Oreochromis niloticus: one gene and its partners. The protein of the gene in region 1 purifies or fractionates together with the protein of each later gene. This does not show direct contact. Links are inferred from orthologs where the notes say so. Each region holds a gene or a part of one and is shown in the gene's direction. Other genes may lie near its edges.

Region 1 (7,758 bases):
ATATTGCTGTCTGATTTATAAATGCAGACAGATTGACAACATGTTGCCATCAGTCTGAATGAGTCTTTGTCAGTAAACACAACTCGAGAGGACTTGAGTCAGCTGGATGCTTGTGAGCTGGTTATATTTCTATAGAACAGGAAGGTTGCTGAACGCAAATGTAATGTGAATTTCTTTTAAAAATGAATTTGAGCCTATGTAAACTTCAACAGATATGTGATTTTAAAGGATTTATCACAGTTAATTGATGTATTATTAACAATAGATTGCACTTAATTGCCAACTTGGTCCCTTTCAATCATAGACTATCTCACAATAATTATGGCTGGTTTTAGTGAGTACTGGTATGCTTGCCAATGTTATTGTGATAAAACAGGCACTGACAAAGTTCAACTTTGAGGGCATAATTTGCAAAACTAGATAAATAATATTGTATAGTGTGAAGCCCGGTAATGATATTGTATCATCTGGTATCTGGTGACTCTCACCACTAATGGAATAAAAAACTGAAGTGAAATGAACCAAATCAGAAACAAAAACAGCTGCAGTTGTTGAAAACAGGAAGAAAGATCACGTTTAATGCCAAAATAGTCAAAGTTCAGCTGTGCATACAGAAAGTAACTATTTCCTTTATTACCAACCTATAGCAGTGTTATTTTTGCATCTCTGCGAGGCTGCACTTATAAAGAGTGGTGCTTTGAGTTAAAGTGTAACTTTAGCATGCAACAATAAAAACGATAACATGGCAATGATTAGCAGCTATAACTTTTACCTTGTTTGAAATCCTAGTTTAGTATGCCAACATGCAAACATTTGCTAAGAAAAAAACACAAAATACAGCTGAGGCTTATGGACTCCTTACAGCAGGTAAATACTGATTTGGTGGTGCTGAAGTCAGAGGATTGCAAAAGTCTCTGGGAGGGGGAACGTTAACATTTTGTGTCAATAATTCGTTAATTTGTTCTTTGGTCAGTGGGGCCAAAGGTTGCTAAGCCAACTATCATGGCAATCCACACAACACAGTTACACATTTCACCATCTCTTCTATGGCAGAAAAGTCTGCGGCCTTATCAAAGAGTGTCGAACTAGAATTGCGAAAACTTTACAATAAGAAGTTACAGGACACTTCTGTGAGGTCTTGATGTTGCTCTGGAGCAACAGCTGAAGTCAGTTAATGAAATGATCCTCTCGGCAGCACACAGACTAAGAGAATAATTAAATAAAAGCAAGCAAAAAGATAAAGCAAAGAGGACTGTTGGAAGGCAGAGTGGAGCAGTGAAAAGAATTTAGGTCAGACTGCCTCCGTCGGCCACACTTCTCGACTTTTACCCAAACAAAACTGCAGTTAGTTTTTCCTCCGAGGACTGTAACTGCACTTGGGAGGATAAAGTAATTTTGCTTCTCTCTTTGATTGCATGACAGGAACTGGTTATGCCGTGTGTGTTTTGGCAGCTTGGCGTGCCTCTCATTCAGCTTCAGCAGTGTTTCCAAATCCCAGCAAAATACCCTGGCGGTGTGGCAGGCACCAAGTCAAAAGCCTTTTTATCTTTCATGTGCTGTGATTACTGTAGTTTGTAAACAGAGCAGAACTCTCTGTTATGGGTTTATACACTCTGTGGGAGACATTAAAGCGTCTGATCCGCACTGACACACAGACAGAGGGTCAAATTACTCTTAATTTGTATTCTTTAGAGATTTAAGGCATCTCACCAAATACTTTTACAAAAAGGTTAGGGTACGGGAAAATAACAAATTAATTGTCTCTCTATTTGGTGCATTTCATCAATCTGTTACTGACAACAGCAGGAATTTATTTGAGCTTTAGCAGCTGCTTTTTAATAGAGCAGGACAGATGTCTCCTCTGCATGACCACTTTGATTTTAAACACTGTGTGCCCTGAAGAGATGACTAAATAGACAGTTGGCCTCCACGAAAGAGATGGAGATAAGGATAGAGAGTGAACATTGCTATCACATCTGAATGCCTTGGCATGTGTAAACGGAATTAACATTGCCTATGTGCACACATGGAAATTAAAGGTTGGATGCAGCCCAGCCCTCCATAGTCATGACAAGCAAGTGACTTTGAGTCATGTGTGTCTGTGAACTGTCTGTGGGGTATGTGAAAGCTGAGCAGGACAGAGCTTAATCCTTCATTAAACCCTGTGGTCCCTTACAGTGTCTCCTCTGCAATGAAACCTGATATGTACTAAACGTCTTAACTAGGAAAACAATGGATAAACCTAACTGATGCCACGTATGAGGGTTAAAAAGAGTCAAAAAGATGTTTATTACTATATTACTAACCACAAAGACAGGGACAGAGACTCCACATGTTTTGCAGTTGTATAGCAGCCTCAAGGTATAAATCAATAAAATAAACAAAACAAGATAAGTCAAATAAAATGACTAAGTGCTGAGAGCTGAATGACCTATGCACGACTGAGCTAAGTGACAAAGCACAAAATCCATAGTGCAAGCTTTAGGGTCACTGTCTGTCAACAGATGGTCTCAGTTACCCAGACAAAAGACCCATATCATGTAGAGGGATTTGCGGTGATGGCCACTGTCATTTCATCCCACCTGAAATCCACAGAGCGTCTCAGGACGGAGCTGGCTCTCCTTGTCAGTTTTTGCCTCTAATCCCGCATGACGCACTGAGGGTGGCTAATAATCTCTGATTGAAAACGTGTCTTTACAGGCTCAATGAAGCCTTACTAAACTGGTTTTTAAATGTAGCACGCTTTGACATCTGAGCTACTTGATTTCTGACAGCACAGTTCGGTCCAGGAGCCATATATATGTCAGCTCTGCAGTAAACTGTGATGACTTTGCTGAAACCTGCCTTGTAAGCTTGCTACCTGGAAGAAAATAAGGAACACATTTTGCCGTTGTGAATTTATGAGCAAACAGGTTTCCTAGAAAGTTCTTAGAGAGGCTTTTTCTCAAAATTGGTGAGCCCGTTTGCATTTTGCACTGACCTTTTGTTTGAGAACATGGGGAGAAACTGATTTGAGTAGACCACAAGCAGAACTATTTGCCTAATTACTGTGAAAAATGTGCAGACTGCATGCACAATATGCAGTGAAAACACATGCAAAATCATTTTTTTCTTCTAGGATCAAAGTCCTCTCAGGCCTTAAAAAAAAAAACAACGCCCGGTACAGGATGACATGTTGCTTAGTAGCAACTGATCTCATTGAATTAAACCACGGGCCTACAGGAGACATTGGTTTACTGTAATTGGTTACTGGTTATAGCCAGATGAAATGAGGTGAGCTTGCCAACATGTTTCACACTTTGAGCTCAACATGTTTCAGCTTTCAGTAGACTGCATTAAACTGACTGTTGTGTATGTTGTAATACAGCAGCATTCTACCCTTTTTAAGAGCAAATGCAGCCCTGTACTCTCCTCCTCTTTCATAAGCTCCTTACTGTATTGGGAGAAGTTGCTGGCAGCTGCTCCTCAAATCAGAAGGTTCAACCCTTATTACCCAGCCCAAAGGAATTACTGCTGCCCTGGCACTGCTGAAGGCAAGGAAAAGACTGAGTGGAAGCCCTGGCGTCTTTACAGTCAAAAACAAAGCAGAGCCAGGGAAACGATGATATTGTTTCTAGAGCAGGCTCGCATTCATCAGGTATTTTGCATTTTGCATTCATCAGGTATTTTGATGTCGCCCACACCGAGCAGCAAGAGGAGGTACCCGTTTACTGCCAGCTGTCAGTGTGATGTGGCACCACAGCAAGCTCAAACAACCCCACAGCATCCCCTCATTTTAAACTGCAATCCACTTCACACAACACATCCTGGGTAGCAATCTTACCTGAAAGTAGAAAGACTTTTTCACCCAGGCCCGTGGAAACAGACCCTTCGCCATCACAAAAATAGATCATCTCAAGACGTGGACCTGGCTGTGGGGGATCATCCAAAAACCCATGGGAGAAAGCCTGTTCAGCATCAAACGACGGGCACAGGGAAATTATTGCAGGTTATCCGATTTTAAGCTCAGATTGTCGATTTGTGTTGACGGCGTGAGTCGCTCTGACGGCACACTTTGCCTGCGCCTGGGCTCTGTTTGCAGCAGCTGCTGAATTCCAACCAAAGCAACATAGTTGAAGCTGGGGAAAAAAAACGCAGGTTCAGAGCGCAGGCGCAAACTCTACCAATAAGATGTCTGTTTTTAAGTTTACATGTGATCAACTAATTTGACCAAAACTGCTGTCCAAGCCCACTCACCGATGCCAGATCCCCTCCGCAGATAACGGTGAGTCAATATTGCGTGTTTGCGAAACTCTGGAGGTACAAGCAGGTCAAGCCCAAGCCAGCAAGGAGAGGGAACACAAACATCCGCTTTCTCCTTCAAAATAAAGGTTTTATTGCGGAGACGCTACACACAACTTCCGGCCAGGAGGTCTAATTAAAAATTACCTGTTAGCGTCATGTTATGTTGTAGCGCCATGAAGTGGCCGTACTTTGCACAAGTTTATCAAACATCTCATCGTTAAACTTCTGATGTTTTTGAGTAAACATATTTTATATTTAGAATGTCTCTCTTAGGCAGACACTTACGCATAACACCTCCAGTAAAACGTCGACTAAAATAATAAAAAAAATTTAAAAAAATATGCTTCTTTAAGGGGCGGATATGTTTTGCTTACTAAATGCCCTGCCTACAATTTCAAATGTTTGAAAAAATGGTGAGCGTCGCGGCAGAGACAGCCAGCAGCAGTCGTTTAAGCTCTTCCCATAATGCACTCCCCGATCACCAGCGGGAAACCAAAATGGCGAACTTGCTCGGGGAAAATGAACCGTTTGTTATTTTCTGAGGAAGCCACAAACCCCGCATGTTTTCCAGACACGCTTTGGAAGTGAATTCAGTTGCTCGAGGAGCGGGATAAGAGCGGCTCTTCTGTCCGGTTATTTTTGTCGTACGAGTCGTTTGTAGAAGCGGAGGTGACCGAATGAGGTATTGTTGTCATGTTTTCCTCCCGTTAGGGGGGGTGTGGGTCCGACGGTCAGCGACCTGGCTGGGGTTACGGCTTTGCATGTGGATTATTCCCGCTGCTGAGCTCGCCCAGCTGCCAGCTATTTAATATACAAGACATTATATCAGCGTGCAGCGGCATCCCAAGCTGTCTTTTTATCTTTGCTAAGTGGCTGGCATTGAATATGTCCACTCATTATCCGAACAAAGGAAAGCCTGCATTGGAGGACAGCGTTTAAAGGCGAAGGAAAAAACCCCAATAGTTTCTTAATATCTGAAATTAATAACATTTGTAATAGAAGCTAGAAATATGACATTTTGTATTAGTATGTACAAACTATCTGCTGTCACTGAGACTTGTGGTGGAATGGAAGTGTTCAGTAGTAAGTACATTGGTACATTGGTCTTTATTTCTAAAAGGGTGGTTAGGTTTTTGTTTTTTGTCTTTCATTGCATTGAAGCCATGTTACTGACTATGTGGTTAATTACCAATTAGCACTAATTATGGGTATAATCACCTGTTGTTCAAAGCCAGTGGAGAGGAAATGCCATGTTTCACTCTCTTTTGTAAGCCCTTCTGCAAGCACACAATGCATCCTTGTGTTTGAGGGCTACACATACAGGACTGTTACTCTGCTAGCTGTTATCAGTTTAAAAAAAAAATACCAATAACATGCATTAAGTTGTACTAGTATTCTTTTGAGGAAACAGAATACACCACATATAAATAATTACAATCTGTTTACAGTAAGCAGAAAAAAAAATTCTCCTAAATTAACTTTGAACTTATTCCATATCCGCTTGCTCCATAGTCTAAATTCACATCTGCCTCTGTTCTCTTGTATTGCACTGTTTTTCAGAGACTCAGGGGTTGTGGATCACCTGTCTGTGCATCACAGAGCTCATCCCCCGCAGCGGCAGCAGCAGGCTGTGTCCTTGTCCCCCACAAGCCTTTCTGCCAGGGGAGAGTATGGAGAAGACAGCATGTCTGATAGGTTTTCAGAGGGACAGGATGTCCTGGCCCGGTGGTCAGATGGCCTTTTCTACTTGGGGACAATCGCAAAGGTTAGTGTGAGGATGATGCATGAAGGTAAACGGACTGTGTGGAGAGCGTTGGCAGAAAAACTCCTGAAATCAGTATAGGTCATTTGCAGCAAAATCTGCTCCTGTCGCATCTGGAAACAAGTAAATCTTTCTTTGTTTTGTTTTTCAGATAGATCGGGACAAGCACCGATGTTTTGTGGTTTTTGAGGATCGGTCAAAGTCTTGGGTTCTTTGGAAGGATATTCAAACAGGTGAATGTTGGCTTCGAGGTGGATAAGAATGGCTTCATTGATCCCAAAGGGAAATTTAAAATGTGCAATATATTTTAGTTTAATTGCTAGATAATATGCAGTAAAGATACTGTAAGCCAGTGCAAAGAGGGTGGGGAGTCAATTATCCACAATTTGTGCTGTGCAAACCTTTCTGCCTCTTCCAGGACTTACTTATCTCTTGCTCTTGTCACTGACAGTTAACTGTAGAGTGTATCAGTACAGTCGCAGTGCATTGCTAATATGCAGACGGGCTGCTATCGCTCCACTTAAGCCCCTTTAGCTATTATGGTGTTAAGAAAAACTTATTCTTCATTTTTATTCTTAAATGGGATGGGTCATGAATAAAGCATTAATGAAAGCTATGATCAGACACATTCGTCACATTTGACTGTAAACGATTTGTGGGATAATTTTTATTTATTTATTTTAACCTCAAACCTCATCTCAATAGTTGAATTGTGATATATTAAAAAAGTATGACAAAGAATCACCACATGAGATGCAGTCAAAATCTTGTTATAAATTCTATTCCTGTGCAAGTGTGATAAAGCGCTATGAGGCAACTGTTGCTGTTATTTGGCGCTACATTAAAAAAAAAATAAAAAAAATGATTTGAATAGAAATCCCCCTTTCGGGTCTAGAAAAGACACATAGTTATTACAAACATCCCACACCCTCGAATATGCTCAGGAGGAAGAAGGCAGCAAACTGTCCGCAATCAGGATGAAAACGGCTTTATTCCTGCTGAATCAAAAGTTAAGCCAGTAGATGGAATCTTCTCTCTAGTATCCTGGTGTAGACCTTCAGTGACACGGAAGCGTGATTACCCCCCCCCCCCCCCCCCCCCGATAACCAGACAGTTTGGATTTTATTTATCCAGGTTGTAAAATATTTTCCCTGCCACCTTTCTCTAGTTTCAGCTGGGTGAATTTGAGTCATCTTTTGTTCATGTGATGACTCGGTGTACTCCTCTGACCTCGTTTAACTGAAAGCTGCTTTAAATGATACCCTTAGTCATACCACCATTGATCTGAAACTTTAGTTGCTTACCTTCATGACTTTGGTGCTGTTTAGGGGAAGAAGATGATGAGGATGACGACGACGATGACATTGTCTGCTCCATATGCCAGGACGAAACTTCAGAGGAACCCAATGAGATTGTCATTTGTGACAAATGTGGACAAGGTATCATTTATTGTCTCTGATGTTCCAACATAAGCCAGAAACAGTTATTTTATATTATATTTATAACCCATTTAAACAGCCAGTCTCAGTAGTTTATTTATTCGTCTGTTGGGCTCTAATCTCTGGCCATTACGGATGTGTTCATTTGTGTTTTAGGCTACCACCAGCGGTGTCACTCCCCTGTCATCGATGCTGCTGTCATCGACTCTGATGACAAGTGGCTTTGCTCAGAGTGCGAGCTCACTTCTCTATCTAAGGTACAGATTTTTCTTT
Region 2 (6,934 bases), on another chromosome or scaffold:
GTGTGCACCGAAAAGGTCCCCGCGCTCATTAGTGGAATTCCACTAGCCTGGTGGGAGCTAGTTGTAGGGTAGATGTGTGTGTCAGTGCCAGGTAGCTCTGTGTAGAAGCGGTCTCTGAAGAGTTCTGGCAGTGCCTCACAAGCGCAGGCGCACACATACGCGCACGCGCACGGTGTGCTGTGTTTGTCAGGGAAAGTGAGGTGCAGCACGTTTTGGTTTTGGTTGTTTGAGTAGATGTTTCTCTTCTTCTCTCATGCTAAGCTTGTCCTGTGGTAACACGATGTATATGGTTATGGAGGGTTTTTGTAATGCTGACCAACATTTTGCCAAACACACATGCAGGGGCAGGTTCTTCTGATCAGAAGGCCCATTTTGTCTTGGGTCAGAAAATGGCTGTGGAAACTTGTTTAATTGATCTCGTGCAGCTATGAGCAAGTATTGGGAAGTTTTAGGTTAGAGCAGTTGCGGCAGAGCACAGCTTTAACCGTCACTTTTTTCTTTTCGTTTCTCCCCTCGGTGAAAAGTCGGTCAGCATTTCTTCCCTGCATTTTTTTTTTTTTTTTTTTCCCCCCAGTCTCACATGTGTACACAGTGCAGGAAATATCTGTGGCAATCTGCCAACTACTGTGAGGAAACCACAGAGAAACGGAGAGAAAAAGAAATACAGATGAACTTTAAGGTCATTTTTTTCTCCCGATGCAGCTGTGTCTGGTGTTTTTGTGTGTGTGTCGAGCCATAGAATCTGTATATGAGAGCATTTGTAACCCTGAGATATACTGTCAGTGCTGTGTGTGTGTGTGTGTGTGTACATTTGGCCTTCTGCCACACCATGGAGGGAAAGAGTGCTAGTGAGCTGTCTAGGTAATTGGTGCTTACCTGGCAGGCTTTTGCACACATGCACACACAGACACACTCGCATGCACACACAGTGAATGGATTAGATGACATTAACTACAGGAGAAAATGGCATAATTGAATACTTCCCGCTATCTGTCTCTCTAGTGTGTGTGTGTGCGTGTGGTCATGTGTGACAGTGTAATGAGTGACTGCACGTTACACCCCTAAAAAATACCCTATCACCCTCTGTCAGAGGCTGCGAAGCATCAGTGCACTGGGAGGTCTGCTTGCGTGTGTGTGTGTGCACGTGCGAGCGTGTGTGTTGTATAAAGGCAGACATGGCTGTCACCCATCAGCTCCATCATGTGCAGACACTCAGCTTTTAATATTTTGCCCACCTTTCCCCTCGCCAGCTCTTGAGGCCTTTCCCCGAAGGGTCCCCGGGCAGACCTGGGAAATCAAAACAAAGGCAGGAGCTTATTTTTATCCACCGAAGAGACGGAAACAACAAAGAGAATCTTCAGTTTTGTCAGTGTTACAGTCATATCAACAGAGAACACTCAAGATATCTCTGCGACCTTTTAATAAGATTTAAATTAGACACCATATCACTGAAGTTGGCATCTGGCCTGTAATCCAAAATTTGTACTGTGCTGGCTTATTTCTTTTTCCTTTTTAAATAAAGTTGTGCAAAGGCAGCCCACCACTTTCACACTATTTTCTGCTCCTTCCTATCATATCTTAGTTGCATGTTTGATTGTGTGTGTAGAGAACATTTCCGACCCCAGGAGTCAGAAACAACGGGCTTATTCACTCGCCTGTGGGAGAATCCATACCAGTAGGATAAGATTACATCGCTCTCCATCTTCCACGCACACAGAAGTACAGTTTGTGTTCCCACAGCTCGTCATCTTTACTCCTCTGCTTCTGTTTTTTCTTTCCTTTTTGGGGCTTTTTATTTATTTATCTTTTAGTATTCTATTAAAACAAATTCTATCGTCGTTATCTTGTTATCAGCAGCAGTAAAACAGTTTGATATGATTGTTATTATAAATTTTTTTTTTTGTTTGATGTGGAATTTTATTTATTTATTTTTAAAATAATGCACCCAGCCAACAATGATGCCACTGCAGTGTCCGCCAGCCACTTAGCAGAGCCAGCTCCAGTGGTCTGAGTCAACTGGATGAACAAACAGTGTGCTCCCACACAGGTCTGCCTCTTTACATTTGACTCAGACAGAAGGAAATGTGCTTGCTGAGATGGGTCGACAGGACCTGAAATGTGCTTTTAATTCAGATAATTAGCATACATTAGGGGTTTTTTTCGGTTACATAAAAGCAGCAAATGTTTTCTTTTCTGAGACTTAACAGCTGAAAACCACTCGCCCCATGACTCGAGTAGAGAAAAGCTATTTCCAGCTTCCATTATTTATTAATACCTCTTTGTTGTTGCGCATGTCCTAATCTCATTTCCTTTAGTCATTAGCGTTGTTCGACATCAAACACAGCTGTCAGAGCAATGAGTGTAAGCAGCAAGGGAGGAAAGAAGTATGGTGATTGCTGTTGGACACTCACTAAAGACCCTTTTTAGAATGCTCTTTGGGCTGGAATATTTTTTTCCAATAAGCCGTTAAAACTCTCAGTGCGAGCAATGAGTGTTTCCAATAACTTTCCCTCCATGTGCTGCACATTCGACCATCTTGTGTTTGTTGCCTAGACCGAGTCTGAATGGGTTATGTCTCGGAGAAGGATGTGTTGTGCGTGCGTGTTAGTGCGTGTGTGTGTGTGCGTGCGTGTGCATGTGTGACTCCTGGTGACCTCTTTTGACAATAACATCTTTTGTCTCGTTCTCACTGGGAGAGATTAGCAACACATAAACTCGCAGTCCCATGATGCCTTTTTCATTTGCTTCCTACCTATTCATCGCTTTAATGCTCTCCGCTCACGGCGTTGTGGGGAAAATGCGACCCCTTAATGTATTGTTATGCTAATGTGTTGCCCTGTGTCTAAGCTAATGCTATGTTATGCTAATATTGTGTCATGCTAATGTCACTATGTAGTGAGAAATGTTCGGGAAGGATGCAATAAGAACAATATGGAAGGGAGTCCCCATTCTACTCGGACCTTTTTATTTGTTTTTTTCCCTCTCTTTACTAAATCTATCATAACTGCTCACACATTAGCACAGCCGTCATCCAAAACTCGGATTATTTATCTGATGTTCTTCTACATTCTAGCTACATTTAGTTTGTATTGTAAGCTAACAGCTTTAACTGTTTCTCCACTCTGTTGGGTCATTGTTACATTGCTGGCTCAGGCCATACTTTTAGCTTTCATAATTTTCGCTAATATTATTAGAAATATCCACTGTGTCTTGCTAATACATTCATTTGTTTATCCACAGTGTTAGCTAAAAATTTTAACTTTTACAAGTACTTTAATCAAGCTAATAGTTTTGTTCTGTTTTGACCATCTGTTTTAATAATTATGCATTCCTTATTTCTGTGTTAACTATTCATAAAATAATTTAAAATTACTGCGGTCCACAGTTTTCATTCTCTAATTTTAATAGCTTGTTCATAGTTTAGCTAAAATCTTTTTTTTTTTCTGTAAGAAATTCCTTCATTCTACGCTATTTTTGGAGTTTTAATGCTACATTGAAAGTGCTGAGTAATTATGTGGGTATCTCTTCGCAAAAATGTGAAAATTTACAGACTTTGTTGAAGTTAGTTTAAGCTTTCTTTTGTTTTGAGGCAAATCTAAGCCTGGCTGGCCTGTGAGCATTTCCTGACCTTGACCTAACGCCACACTACTTTGGAAGTTCTGTTGCCTTGCAAAAAGAAACAAAGGAAATGGCCCGGCATAAACAGCTGTCCAACTTACAAATACTGTCTTTTATTATGTGCTTTTCATGTTCTTGTCTGCCAAGTGTTTTTTTTTTTTCTTTCCAAAACATGATGTGAACAGAAACAGAGTTAATGGTTGCAGAAAATGGAGAAATGCACATTGCTTGTGGTTTTTCTCTGCGATGAGGGCTTACACTAATCCACTTTCACCATCTTGATATCTTCACAGGATGACAGTGATGGGATCCCGTGGTCGGAGGAGCGGGTTATGCGAAAGGTGCTTTACCTCTCCCTAAAGGAGTTTAGGACTGCACAGAAACGGCAGCTGGATGGGGATGGAACCACAAACTCTAATGGTGGGTTTAAGTCCACCTCCTTAATGCTCTAAGGAGAGCATTAAGGAGATAAATGCAATAGTGCATAGCTCATCTTTGCACTAACGTTTTCTTTTGTTTTTGTCCCTGGGTTGGGTGCTACAAAAGAGCAGATTGAGTAGATGTGTAGGTGTGTACTGTACAGCAGTAATACTTTGCTGAATTAATCAGCGTTAAAGTGTGAAATAAAGTAAACCGGCCTATTTGTTCATATCAGCAGCATTCAGTAAGTGATTATACATATGCAAGTTTGCTGTATACTACAGATTAACCCTTAAGCATACAGGACTGGCTGTTTTGTTAATAGAATTGAGAACTCTTGGAGAACTGATGATCTTTCCCTGTAGGTTAAAACCTTTGGAGGGACTTCTTGTGTTTCTACTGCAGGGACAAGGGTCTAAATAAAGGGCCAGAGAAATTACTTAAATCCGAAAATTCAAGTACTTGGGTTTGCTGAAACTGCTCTGCTCCAGTCCATTAGGTAGTCATGCAAAAACAGTGGTAATAAGATAGAAGATCCCTAAACCTTTAGAAGGTACGAGTGCGAGAGCAGGGGTGTTTTTAGTAGAAACACACAAAGTTCCTCCAAGGTTCCTACTCAAGGATAATGGTTCTTCTAGTGGAAAAGTCCCGTTTGTACTCTTTATGTAGATGATGACTTTGCAAAGAGAGAAAAACAAATTACACCAATTAGTGTGCTGTTAACAGCTTGACACAGTAAAAAGAAACTGCAGAAGGTGTGAGAAGCTGAAAACCGTCACGCTGTTGTGACAGAGTCGGAGGCAAAGAATGGCTGCAGTCATGTTTTGAGGGGGGAAATGTCAGAGTTGCTAGTTTTTTTTTGTTTCTGGTCACTGAGCCGTCTTTTGGGCCGGTGTCACGTCCTCAAAACTGAAAACATTTCCCTCTCGTTTCTAAAAAAGTTGTTTGTGCATCAAACAGAGGGACACAGATGAGGTCTCCAGCAGTGCCACACACAAGAAAACACGTGTATAGGTGTTGCTAATTCCACCTCCACCCCACAGCTTTACACATTTACACCCATCCTGGGGTCAGGGCTCATTAAAACACGAGCCTATCAGAAGCCTTAACTTGAGCTAATACCCGAAATTACTTACTAAAGACAGAAATCCAATCCCATGGTCGAAGCCTGCTCCAGAAACAGTTGAGGGAATTTGTGTGTTTTTAAAAAAAGAGAGGCTGAAACGACATGAGAAGAGTGAGTGCACAGGGGGGATGAACAGCTTGTTTTGAACCAAGCTGCCACCATGTCTTTGTTTGACACTGGTGTTCCTACACGCACACATACACTCACACACACACACACACACACACACACACACAAAAGCCCATAGCCAGCCAACAGCGGAGATTTGAACTTCACACGTGCCTCAGAAGCTATTCTCAGTTGACATTAACACAACCCAGACGTGGAAAGAAAGGAACCAGGAGGAAAAAAGAGCCTCTGAAAGTTCACGCCCAGTCTTCCAGCTATCCAGCTCGGCAGAAAGAGAGACGGGCATAAACGGGGAGGTGGGAGCCTCTTTTGAAATGTAGCTTATTCCTTTTCCTCGTTTCTTATTTTTGCCATGTTTCCTTTATTAAACACAGATTAAAAAAAAAAAATCCTTTAGTGTTTCTGTCCATAGTGGTTCTGAGTGCCACCCCTCCCTCCCCTCCTTGTGTGCCAGTACATCTCCGTGCGTCTGTCTGGCATCTCATAGCTGCCACTCCAGAGCTCCTCAGGGCCTTTTAAGCCGCCGCGGGTAGCTGACCTTATCGCCTGAATAAAAATGACTCATTAGAAAGCGTTGGCAGCCTGTCGCACCGGGGGTAACGACAGCAGCCCGCGCTGACACAAAAGGGAGTCGGGCTGAATAGACGGGACCTGCTGTTTTAGAGCACCGTGGGTTAGCGAGGCTTTGGAGGCAGTGCGAGCGGCACAGTTTCCTCTCTCACACAGACATTGTGGTGAAACTGTCAGCCATTTTGGAGGATCACACTCAGCATGCACTACATCCTGAATGGGCAGCCCCTGCTGTTTTAGAGGACTGCGGGTTAGAGAGACTGGGCATATTTTGGGGCCAGACATGTGCCGCACTTTTCAGCCTCATGCAGGCGTCGTCGTCTGTGTGGAAGTATCAGTCATTTTGGATAGGGCATTGATGAAATGATGCAAGGCAGGAAATTGCTTGCTTATTTACTTAATTGACAAAAAATGTAAAGAGCGAAATTTGTAAAACTGTGATTATTTAAGCAGAAAATGACAAACAGTCCATTTTCTTGGACTGGCATTTTGTTTTTAATCCCAATGACAGAACGCTGAAAAAAATCAAGCTTTTCAGAGTGTTTTTGTCAATGGACGATTGAATTCATGTTATTTCAGATCTGATTGAAAGCGTGGCATCTGGTCGTCATCAAGCCAAGCTTCTAAAGCAGCTTTTTGCCCCTACTTTGGGCATCTCTCCATCCCCTCTCCCTTTCCTCTCTCCTCCCTCCTCCGTCACTGTGTGGCAGCAGCGGCTATCTATTTTAGAGGGAGGTGTGGCGGCCTGTCAATCAGCCGCACGTGTCGGTCTATCTCCCCGCCCACCCCAGCCCTTCTCCCTGTCCGTAACCAGTAATCATGCCATCTCCCCAGCCACTTTACCTTTTGCTAGCTGGCAGCCGTCCGTCTGTGTGTCCATCACACATCCTGCCTCCTTTCCTGCATTATTTATCAAATGGCATTATGCCCTTCTGCATCCCAGCTTCTGCTCATTAATCCACGCATCGCAGCCACATTCTTCCTCTTTTTTTTTTCCTTCCTACTTTTCCCTATTTCCCTCCATCCATTTGTCCTTCCGTTTGCTCCCCCACCCCCCTCCTCCAACGCAGG
Region 3 (7,912 bases), on another chromosome or scaffold:
GATAATGAATTTTTTCCACATCTCTAGCACAGAGGCAGGCATTTCCATATATAAAAGGGAGACCACACACTCACCGGAGAGAAAGGAGAGGAATAACCCTATGAAACCAAGTGCTCCCTTCATGTCAGAAAAAATGAATAAAGGTGTGTTTTCCCCAGCGTATAACCATGTATAAAAAACCAAAACTTCTTAGACTTCATACAGCGAGGCATAACAGGAAACCCGACAGGATGGAAGAGACGCAGTGCAATCTTCGGTTACCAGATGTCCAAACAATGTTACCCGCGGTTACCAGATGTTCTTCGAAGATCTGTCTGATGGCCCTCCGCCTTGGCAGCGGCTCTCCCCCTCTCTAACACACGTTTCTTTAAAATTTTCTTCCGTTTTTAAAGGGGTGGAGGCAACAAAGATTGTCCTCTCCATTCTCCCAAATAAAAGGGAGCACACCCAAACTGGGGCTGGACTCACATCTGAAAACCCTTTACTCTTTAACTCTTGTTCTGCGTTTTAGTCTCAGTTTCTCACAGTTGAAGGCCTGGCCAGCTCACAGCATGTGATTTATTTGCCTTTTGGGCTGTCTCTGCCAAATAGGAAACATAAGTAAACATTTAGGACTTAGCGTTTCGGGGTGGATGTAATCATGACTCTGCAGGGTGTGCTCTGCAGACAGCCATGATTTCATATTTAGGTTAATTTGACCAAACCTGGAAATAGTTGTTTGTCAAAGTTGACCAGCTGTTTAAAGGGCCAACTATCGTTACGCATGCATGCTAGTAGGAAAACATTCTGTAATTAACGCTACAAGTACGGGAAATCTTGCTCATGTGTGTGATACATCTGGAAGATAGTTTCTCACTGTCTTTAAAAAAAAAAATTGTGTGCAAGAGAGGTGCTTTCACTGATTGAATTAAAAATGAAATCTATGGTTTAGGGTTTCTCACAACCAGCTTGTTAATTTATGACACTAAATCCATATGTTCGGCCTCTCACAACATCTGTTTGCCAAGCAACATTTTGATTTAGTAATGACATCAGGAAATGTGTTCTTTTTTTTTCAGTGGGTGGGGGGCTCAGAGTTGAGAGCGCTGGCAGGGGGAGGAGGGGACAGTCGGGGGATGGAGGAAAAAAGGAAAAAAAGGAAGGCACAGGATGAGGAACAGTGAAAGGGGCGCTGCTCCAATGTTCTAGTTGTTTCACAACTCAGAGTTCATGCGTTGATCACAGACGTTGCGTGGGGTGAATGACGAACAAATTAAGGAAGTCGAGCCAGGTGGGGGCTGCTCGTGATGAGGTTTCAGTTACCCTCCAACCCCAAACCAGTACGGGCCTCATGTCCACTGACGTTGACCCCTCACTGGTAGAGACCTCCCCAGGAGTTTGTCTTGGATTCTCATGGTAATACACACAAGGACAAATCTTGGCAGAAAAAAGGATCCCTGAGTTCTGCTTTTCTGGTTTGTCAGTTCCAGACCAGGCAAATAAGTTTAGAAATGTAATCCAAAGCAATTCCTCAGTGGATGCAATTACATAAACCCCATTTGGAACTGTAAAAATACAAAATCTAGGACATATAGACATAGATGTATAGCTGTCAGTCTATAATAAAGTGATGGAGAAAATGTATGCACTTACTAAGAGTCATCATCCTGTCTGTTGAGTTAAACTCTGCAAAGGAGGGGTATCAGTTAGTCAGTGGTCATGCATGAATTTTGTTTCTTCCTTGGTTTGTTGCTTATTTCTGTAAATGTACTTACCTACTGTTACTGTCGGATGCACAGTTACCTTTTCTTCACTTTGACATACCACTGCTGTGCTTGCTGTAATAAGAGGAATAAAATAAAGACCTGAACATTGGAATAAAACTGTTGATTTAAAACACCACAATATTTTATACGTGTACATAATCTTCTATATGTAGTTTGCAGACCTGAGTGGGGCAGTAAAGGAAATAACATGCCGTGCTGAGTGAACACATGAGTGCATCCTCCCTTTGTCTAGCACTTTTCTAAGGAAATCTTAATGTGTTCAACTCAAAAGCTCATCCCATGTGATCGCGGTCCTATTGCGCGAAATAAATAAGTAATTGACTGAAATATTTTATTTCTTAAAGACTCATGACAACTGCATTTTTTTAAAAAATGCAACGAGATTCATAAAAATATCCTCCTAAAGTTAAAAAAAAAACTGATCTAAGAAAAATCAGTTGTCTCAGGCTGATCACAATTACTCTTTGACCCTTAATCCAAACTGTTTCAGTGTAAAACTCAGTCAGGGGATTAACTAAACTCCTTACTAAAATCTACTAATTACTAAACATTTTCTTTGAATTCTTATTGAGAGGTGAGTTCATGGAAAAGTTAAAAGATTAAGTCAAAATAATAAAAATAGGATAGCATAAAGCCTTTACTTACCCCAGATGAAAAGAAGCATAAAAACTCTGAAATACATAACTAAGAATCTGGTGAGTGTCATTTTGCCTAATGTTCTTCTCCTCTTCCCTGATGGGTAAGAATTACATATCTCAACCTTTTGCAGGAAGGCTGTGTAAAGCAACAGGAAGCCCTCATTTCCTAGTAGGGGCGGACTCACCAAATGGGGCAAAGAGCCTCTGATAAAGTTAGGACTATTGCGGCCCATTGGTGCAGCACTATCAATCTCTCTCTCTTCATCTATTTCCTTAGTTTGTCCCACCCTCTGTTTTCAGGGGCCACACTTTGTCCTGTTTTTCTCTTCCCCACTTTCTGCCTCTTTATTTATCATTGCAAGCAGAATTTTATTGCAAACATGCAGGAGCTTCTGATCAAATGCAAGCTATGTTAGACTGACAGGATACATGCTGCTGACAAGTTGCTTTTCAAAGATTTAGAGAAGTAAAAGTTTTCAGTAAAGTATTTTTAGGAGAAACACACAGGGCTGCGAATCACAAAGAAGAGATACTTTTTTTTTTTTTTTAGCTTATTGTTCAGAAATATCAGACAAAGTTTTAATGAATCTACATTTTTTTTAGGTCATGGATTCATATTTCATTGCTGTGGAGCAACTGACTAACCGTGGGTAAAGAATATCTATCTATCTCAATAAACGTCTGTGGTAAAGAGAGGTGGCTGGAATATCCAGTATGAAACTGATTCACGTCACTGAGGGATGAGTACTCTTTTTCAGCTGCTAGGCTTGGAAGAAATCCAAGTAGCTCAGGCCAAAATTGCTTCCACATTTCATTTCAGTTAAAGGAGGCCACTGTTTTACATGTAATGGACTGAACTTTAAAAATCCAGCATATAGAAGCTTAAATATTGAACTTGGAGTGTGAGCGAAGTGGAGCATGAAGCATATTTGAAATGTAAGTAAGTAAACATTTACTTTGACACGTGTTCTATGAAAATGAATGCTTCTACAGTCACTCACTATTTCAAATGGCTTTCGAAGTCTCTGTTTTATTAGCTACGTTGTAAATCTTTTCATCTCCAAGGCTTTGTCACAGATCATAAAGCCTGCAGCATATCTGAAGAAATGTATCCCAAATAGAGATGCCAAGATCAACACACGCAGTTTACATGATGCAGAATTAAAAACTTCCTGCTGATAACAGTGTCCTAAGCTCATCTTCCTCTGTGTGTTTGCTTTTGTTTGACAGTTTAGTATCAACATGGCAGTGGCTACTTCAAATATCACTGTGGATATGGCAAACAAACTGTACTATCTGAGATACCTTTTGCTCACTGAATGCATAAATCATAAGCAGGCATGCGTGCCACAAACAGCACAGCCAGGGAACAGAGGGGATCAGCAACAACAGCAATCAGAGAGAAACACGATGGGTCTGTTAAGGCGATATAAAGTTTCATTTCTCTTAATCCTACTTTGATGTGTACATATGAGTTCATGTGGCGTCCTTCCATTAAAAACCAGCTAAATAGCGCCATCTTGTGTCTTGCAGATGAATAATTACTGTGTTTGCTTTTGGGGATTTTTTTAATATCTTACAAGTAATAAACTATAAAATGAAATAAATGGGAGCTATAAATAAAATACCCTGAGAGTAAATATTTTTAAATATATCCTTTGTATTTTACTTTTTTCTTTGTATTATATCCTGAGGGGATATGTTAAAATTCCTCCCGTGGAGAGCACACACAACATCTAACATGTTTATCAAAGCAGTACTTTCAAGGACTTTTATTTATAGCAAACCACTACTCGATTGCCTGCACTTTCAGCTTCTTATTTGGCATTAAGTACACACACTATTTATCCACACTACATTTTATATTTAATTGAACGTAAATATTTGAATCTATTTAAAGTGATTGTAGCAAATTAACTGATTTTCTCTGATTTTAAATGTATACACAAGTCAGAATCAGTGCCTCCATAGTAATGTGACTATTGGTAATTTATCGTAATTATTTATAGTGTTAGGTGTTAGCAGTTAGCTTGTGTACATTAAATCAAATCAAGCCAGAAAATGGAATGAGATTAGCTATTACCACGTGTTCCGTTGAACCCTACGTCCGGTTTACGCGTGATGTGTTAAATTAAACATTTCCCTACAAAAGGGGTGTGACGTTTGGCTACTTACACATAAGCAAAGATTTACAGAGGTTAATATACTTCTCTGTAAATTCAAGTCATTATGCTTTCTCATATCGCTGCTCGTCAAATCAAAGTCCATCGAAAACATCATTTTTCAGCTTGCTTGAGCTCTGTATAGTGGGTTTTACGTGGGTTAAGTGACAGCATCAGTGGCGTGAATACCGTCATCCAACCCTCTATCTTTGTGTGTCGGGCTCTCCCTGGAGGAGAAGAGCTGAACAGCAGCTGAATTGTTTTCCATTTGACCCTAGTACATTGGAATGTCGGGAAACTGTGTTCCAGTGTCCAAGTATTTATTATTTTTAATTCGTAGGCTAGACAGTTACTTCAGCTCTGTGGGCAGACTGAATTAATGCATCTATTTTCAGGTTTTGTGAGAAGTTTATTTTGCATTGATTTTTTTGGTAAATATATAAAATAAATACCCGATACTCCTATAAAGCTACGTGTATTCATAATGTTTATTTAGGCCATTTTATTCTTTCGCTCCTATAGAGTCGGCTGTATTTAAGATTATGTGTTTGCACTTGCTCTACTATCAAAACCCACAGAGTGTTCTGCCTTCACGCATTTAGATGGCGATCTAGCACTCCGGACAGTTGCATCAGTTCCTGTGTATGCGTGTAAATGGCTGTGCTGTGGCTGCTGCACGCTACTTTTTATTCCCAGGACGCAGAATAGTAATAAATCCTCCTCTGCTTGGAAAGGCTGTGATCATAATATAGACGTCACCCTCCTGCTCGAGTTGGATCAACCAAGCCAAGTGCGCAGTTATTTGTAAGGTACAACAACAACAACCTCCAGCACCATGCCCATGGATAGAGATTTCTCAGAGATCCCCTCGCTGCGCGGAGATGATAACTGCGTCAGAGCCATAGCAAACACAGCCTTGAATTGCTCCGGATCTCTCTACTAAAAAAAAAAACAAAAAAAAAAAAAACGAGAGAGAGAGAGAAAAACAGAAAGGGACTTGGTCGCGTTGCGGGCTGTTGTCGCAACAAATAGGACACGAGACGTGGATTTAAAGGTATTTAATAACTGCGACACTGGATGTAGCGATCTTGACGTGCACACCCGTGCGCTAGTGTAACGTGCCGTCATTGTGCTGTTCGGTGCGCACGTCTTTAGAGTGTTCTACATTTAAATGGGTACTGTGTAGCTCTCTTGGCACGGGGCTGCACTTACAGGACGTCGCGGACTTCATAGCTTCATGTGTCTGAAACGTGTGCACGTTTCGTAGCCCCCAAAAACGAGGTGCAGCAGTTTCCCCGAGCTCAGTTTTACCTTTGTATTTATTTTTAATTCCGTTTGAGTTCAGACGGGGAAGTTGATATTCAGCGTGGCGATTATGAAACACAGAAAAACTGTACTACGCACTTTTCTATTCTGCTTTTCTGAAGTGGCACGCCCACTCCTGTGCAATGTGGATGCCCCGTGCTATTAAATTCATGTGCTGTATTCATAGATGCGCACACTGTCGCGCTGTATGCGCATAATTCAATCAATTTTCCCCAAGATTTATAAAAAGAGCAGAAACAGTCTACCAGAAAAAGCCCCGTAAAGCACTCGAGGAGGCTTTTTTTTTTTTTTTTTTTGCATTAGACGTCTGTTTTGTTTTGCTAACAGATGGGGGCACTCTTTCAGAAAGACCATCGGCGAGGGTGAATGGGGAAATGTAATGGGGTTGTGAGAAACAGAGGGCGATAGTAAGCCCATTAGTACTATAATAAGGTAACTGAAGTGGACTGCAGGCATATTACATCAGAACTACTGCTATACTACTACTATATTACATTTAATGTAATTAGTGAAAGTAGTTACTGTGGCAGAAAACATGAAAACAAACCTAAGTTTACAAAAGTAACTTGTCTGAATATGAAACTGGAATGTTTTGAAGTTGGGCCTGTTTGTCATATGCTTTCCTTTTATTTTTAAACAGTCATGGAGGAAAGTGCAGCAGCCCCTGACACCGGTGTTGCCCCATCACTTCCAAGACCTCAGTCTTCCTCCTTTATCCCTTCTCGCAGCATGCTGGAGTGGAGACGGAGGGTCAAGTCTGAGTATATGCGCCTTCGCCAGGTCAAACGCCTTAAAAAAGCAGAAGAGGTCAAAGTGAGTCACATTGACATCACCCAAGTTAAATTCAGATGTTCAGTTTTTTTCAGGGTCTGTGAATGAAGATAAGGTTGTAGCTAAATATGGCACAAGACATCTTTTCTCTTGTGCAATCAGGGTTTTGTGCAATGGTCCTGAACAAATAAAGAGCAACGCTTAATTTGTACGTGGGATCCTGGTGTGTCTTTTGTATCCAGTTCTCAATGCGTGTGCTATATTAATAGTGTGTATGTCTTGTTTAACTTGGTCTTTTATTCTCTTTTTTTTCTAGACCCTTTTCATGTCTAACAGGCAAAAGATTGAGCAACAGACAAATATCCTAAACACAGAATGGTCCAAGCTCCGGATTCAGTCCATCCCTCTGTCAACCTCTAATGGGGCTCTGGCCACCAAAAAGGTGGGTGTGTGGTCTGTCAGAGAGAGACGGAGAAATTATGGGGCACTGATCTAGCTTTAGTTGAGCATGCAACCCTTATGCTGTGATGCAGTGTCCAGGGTTTGAAACCGCTCATTCTCTTCTGTCAGCTTTATTGTGATAGGACAGTGGAGAGAAGATAAGAAAGGCTAAAAGCCACCCAAAATATACAAAAAGAGAGCGATGGAGACTATTAAGACAATGGCAGGACACATGATTTGCACTATTATCTGAACCTTGCGGTACGTCTTCTTATTCCTGTCCAAGATGCTCTGGCTAAGCTAGAAGTTCAATATATTTTTATAATGTGAATGTGTTGTGAGGAAATCCCTTCTTGAACATCATGTTGAGATCTCCTCACCCCTCCCAATCTTCTATACCGATTCCCAACTGGATGGGAAAGTGTGGTAGAAGTGGATCGCATGACAGTCTAACAGTCTGCTGCCCTGTGGGAGCTTATAATACATACAGCCTGATGGTATAACCACATCTTTCTCCTCCCGCATGCTGTCATGGTGGGCTGTATTGTGTTAACTGGTTTTATTCCCCCTGCTCAGAGTTAAGTGTGTAGTTATAAAACGGCCAAGTGCTGCAGCATATTGTTCTAGGATCTGGTGATTCTCAAGCCACCTCTGGTTATCTTACAGGTGTGTACAGTGGAGTTTGGCTTCCCAGGATTCAAAGCTCAAGCCATTGCCATGAGACCACTGTCAACAGTAGCTGGAATCCCCTTTATGTACTCCTGGTCCCCTCTGCAGCACAACTTTATGGTATAAATAAAACACAACT

Evidence for each region.
Region 2: the proteins of mtf2 (region 1) and jarid2b purify together in Homo sapiens (affinity purification with mass spectrometry; 3 studies listed by BioGRID and IntAct, with this or other methods). This does not show direct contact. The link is inferred for Oreochromis niloticus from reciprocal best matches to the Homo sapiens genes MTF2 and JARID2.
Region 3: the proteins of mtf2 (region 1) and ezh1 purify together in Homo sapiens (affinity purification with mass spectrometry; 3 studies listed by BioGRID and IntAct, with this or other methods). This does not show direct contact. The link is inferred for Oreochromis niloticus from reciprocal best matches to the Homo sapiens genes MTF2 and EZH1.

What each region holds. Positions count from the first base shown.
Region 1 is NC_031982.2:10,795,656-10,803,413, forward strand, and holds the start of mtf2 (metal-response element-binding transcription factor 2), read left to right. Parts: upstream 1-4,742; 5' UTR 4,743-4,961; coding exon 4,962-4,966; intron 4,967-5,844; coding exon 5,845-6,049; intron 6,050-6,197; coding exon 6,198-6,279; intron 6,280-7,374; coding exon 7,375-7,485; intron 7,486-7,641; coding exon 7,642-7,742; intron 7,743-7,758. Other genes in the region: dipk1aa (divergent protein kinase domain 1A), read right to left, coding at 3,824-3,877. UniProt on the Homo sapiens protein: Polycomb group (PcG) protein that specifically binds histone H3 trimethylated at 'Lys-36' (H3K36me3) and recruits the PRC2 complex, thus enhancing PRC2 H3K27me3 methylation activity.
Region 2 is NC_031985.2:20,234,698-20,241,631, forward strand, and holds the start of jarid2b (protein Jumonji), read left to right. Parts: upstream 1-3,911; 5' UTR 3,912-3,950; coding exon 3,951-4,038; intron 4,039-6,934.
Region 3 is NC_031969.2:26,101,730-26,109,641, reverse strand, and holds the start of ezh1 (histone-lysine N-methyltransferase EZH1), read left to right. Parts: upstream 1-4,889; 5' UTR 4,890-5,375; exon of another isoform or gene 5,376-5,620; intron 5,621-6,532; 5' UTR 6,533-6,534; coding exon 6,535-6,705; intron 6,706-6,979; coding exon 6,980-7,105; intron 7,106-7,770; coding exon 7,771-7,893; intron 7,894-7,912. Other genes in the region: ramp2 (receptor activity-modifying protein 2), read right to left, coding at 1,633-1,665, 1,755-1,817, 2,412-2,472.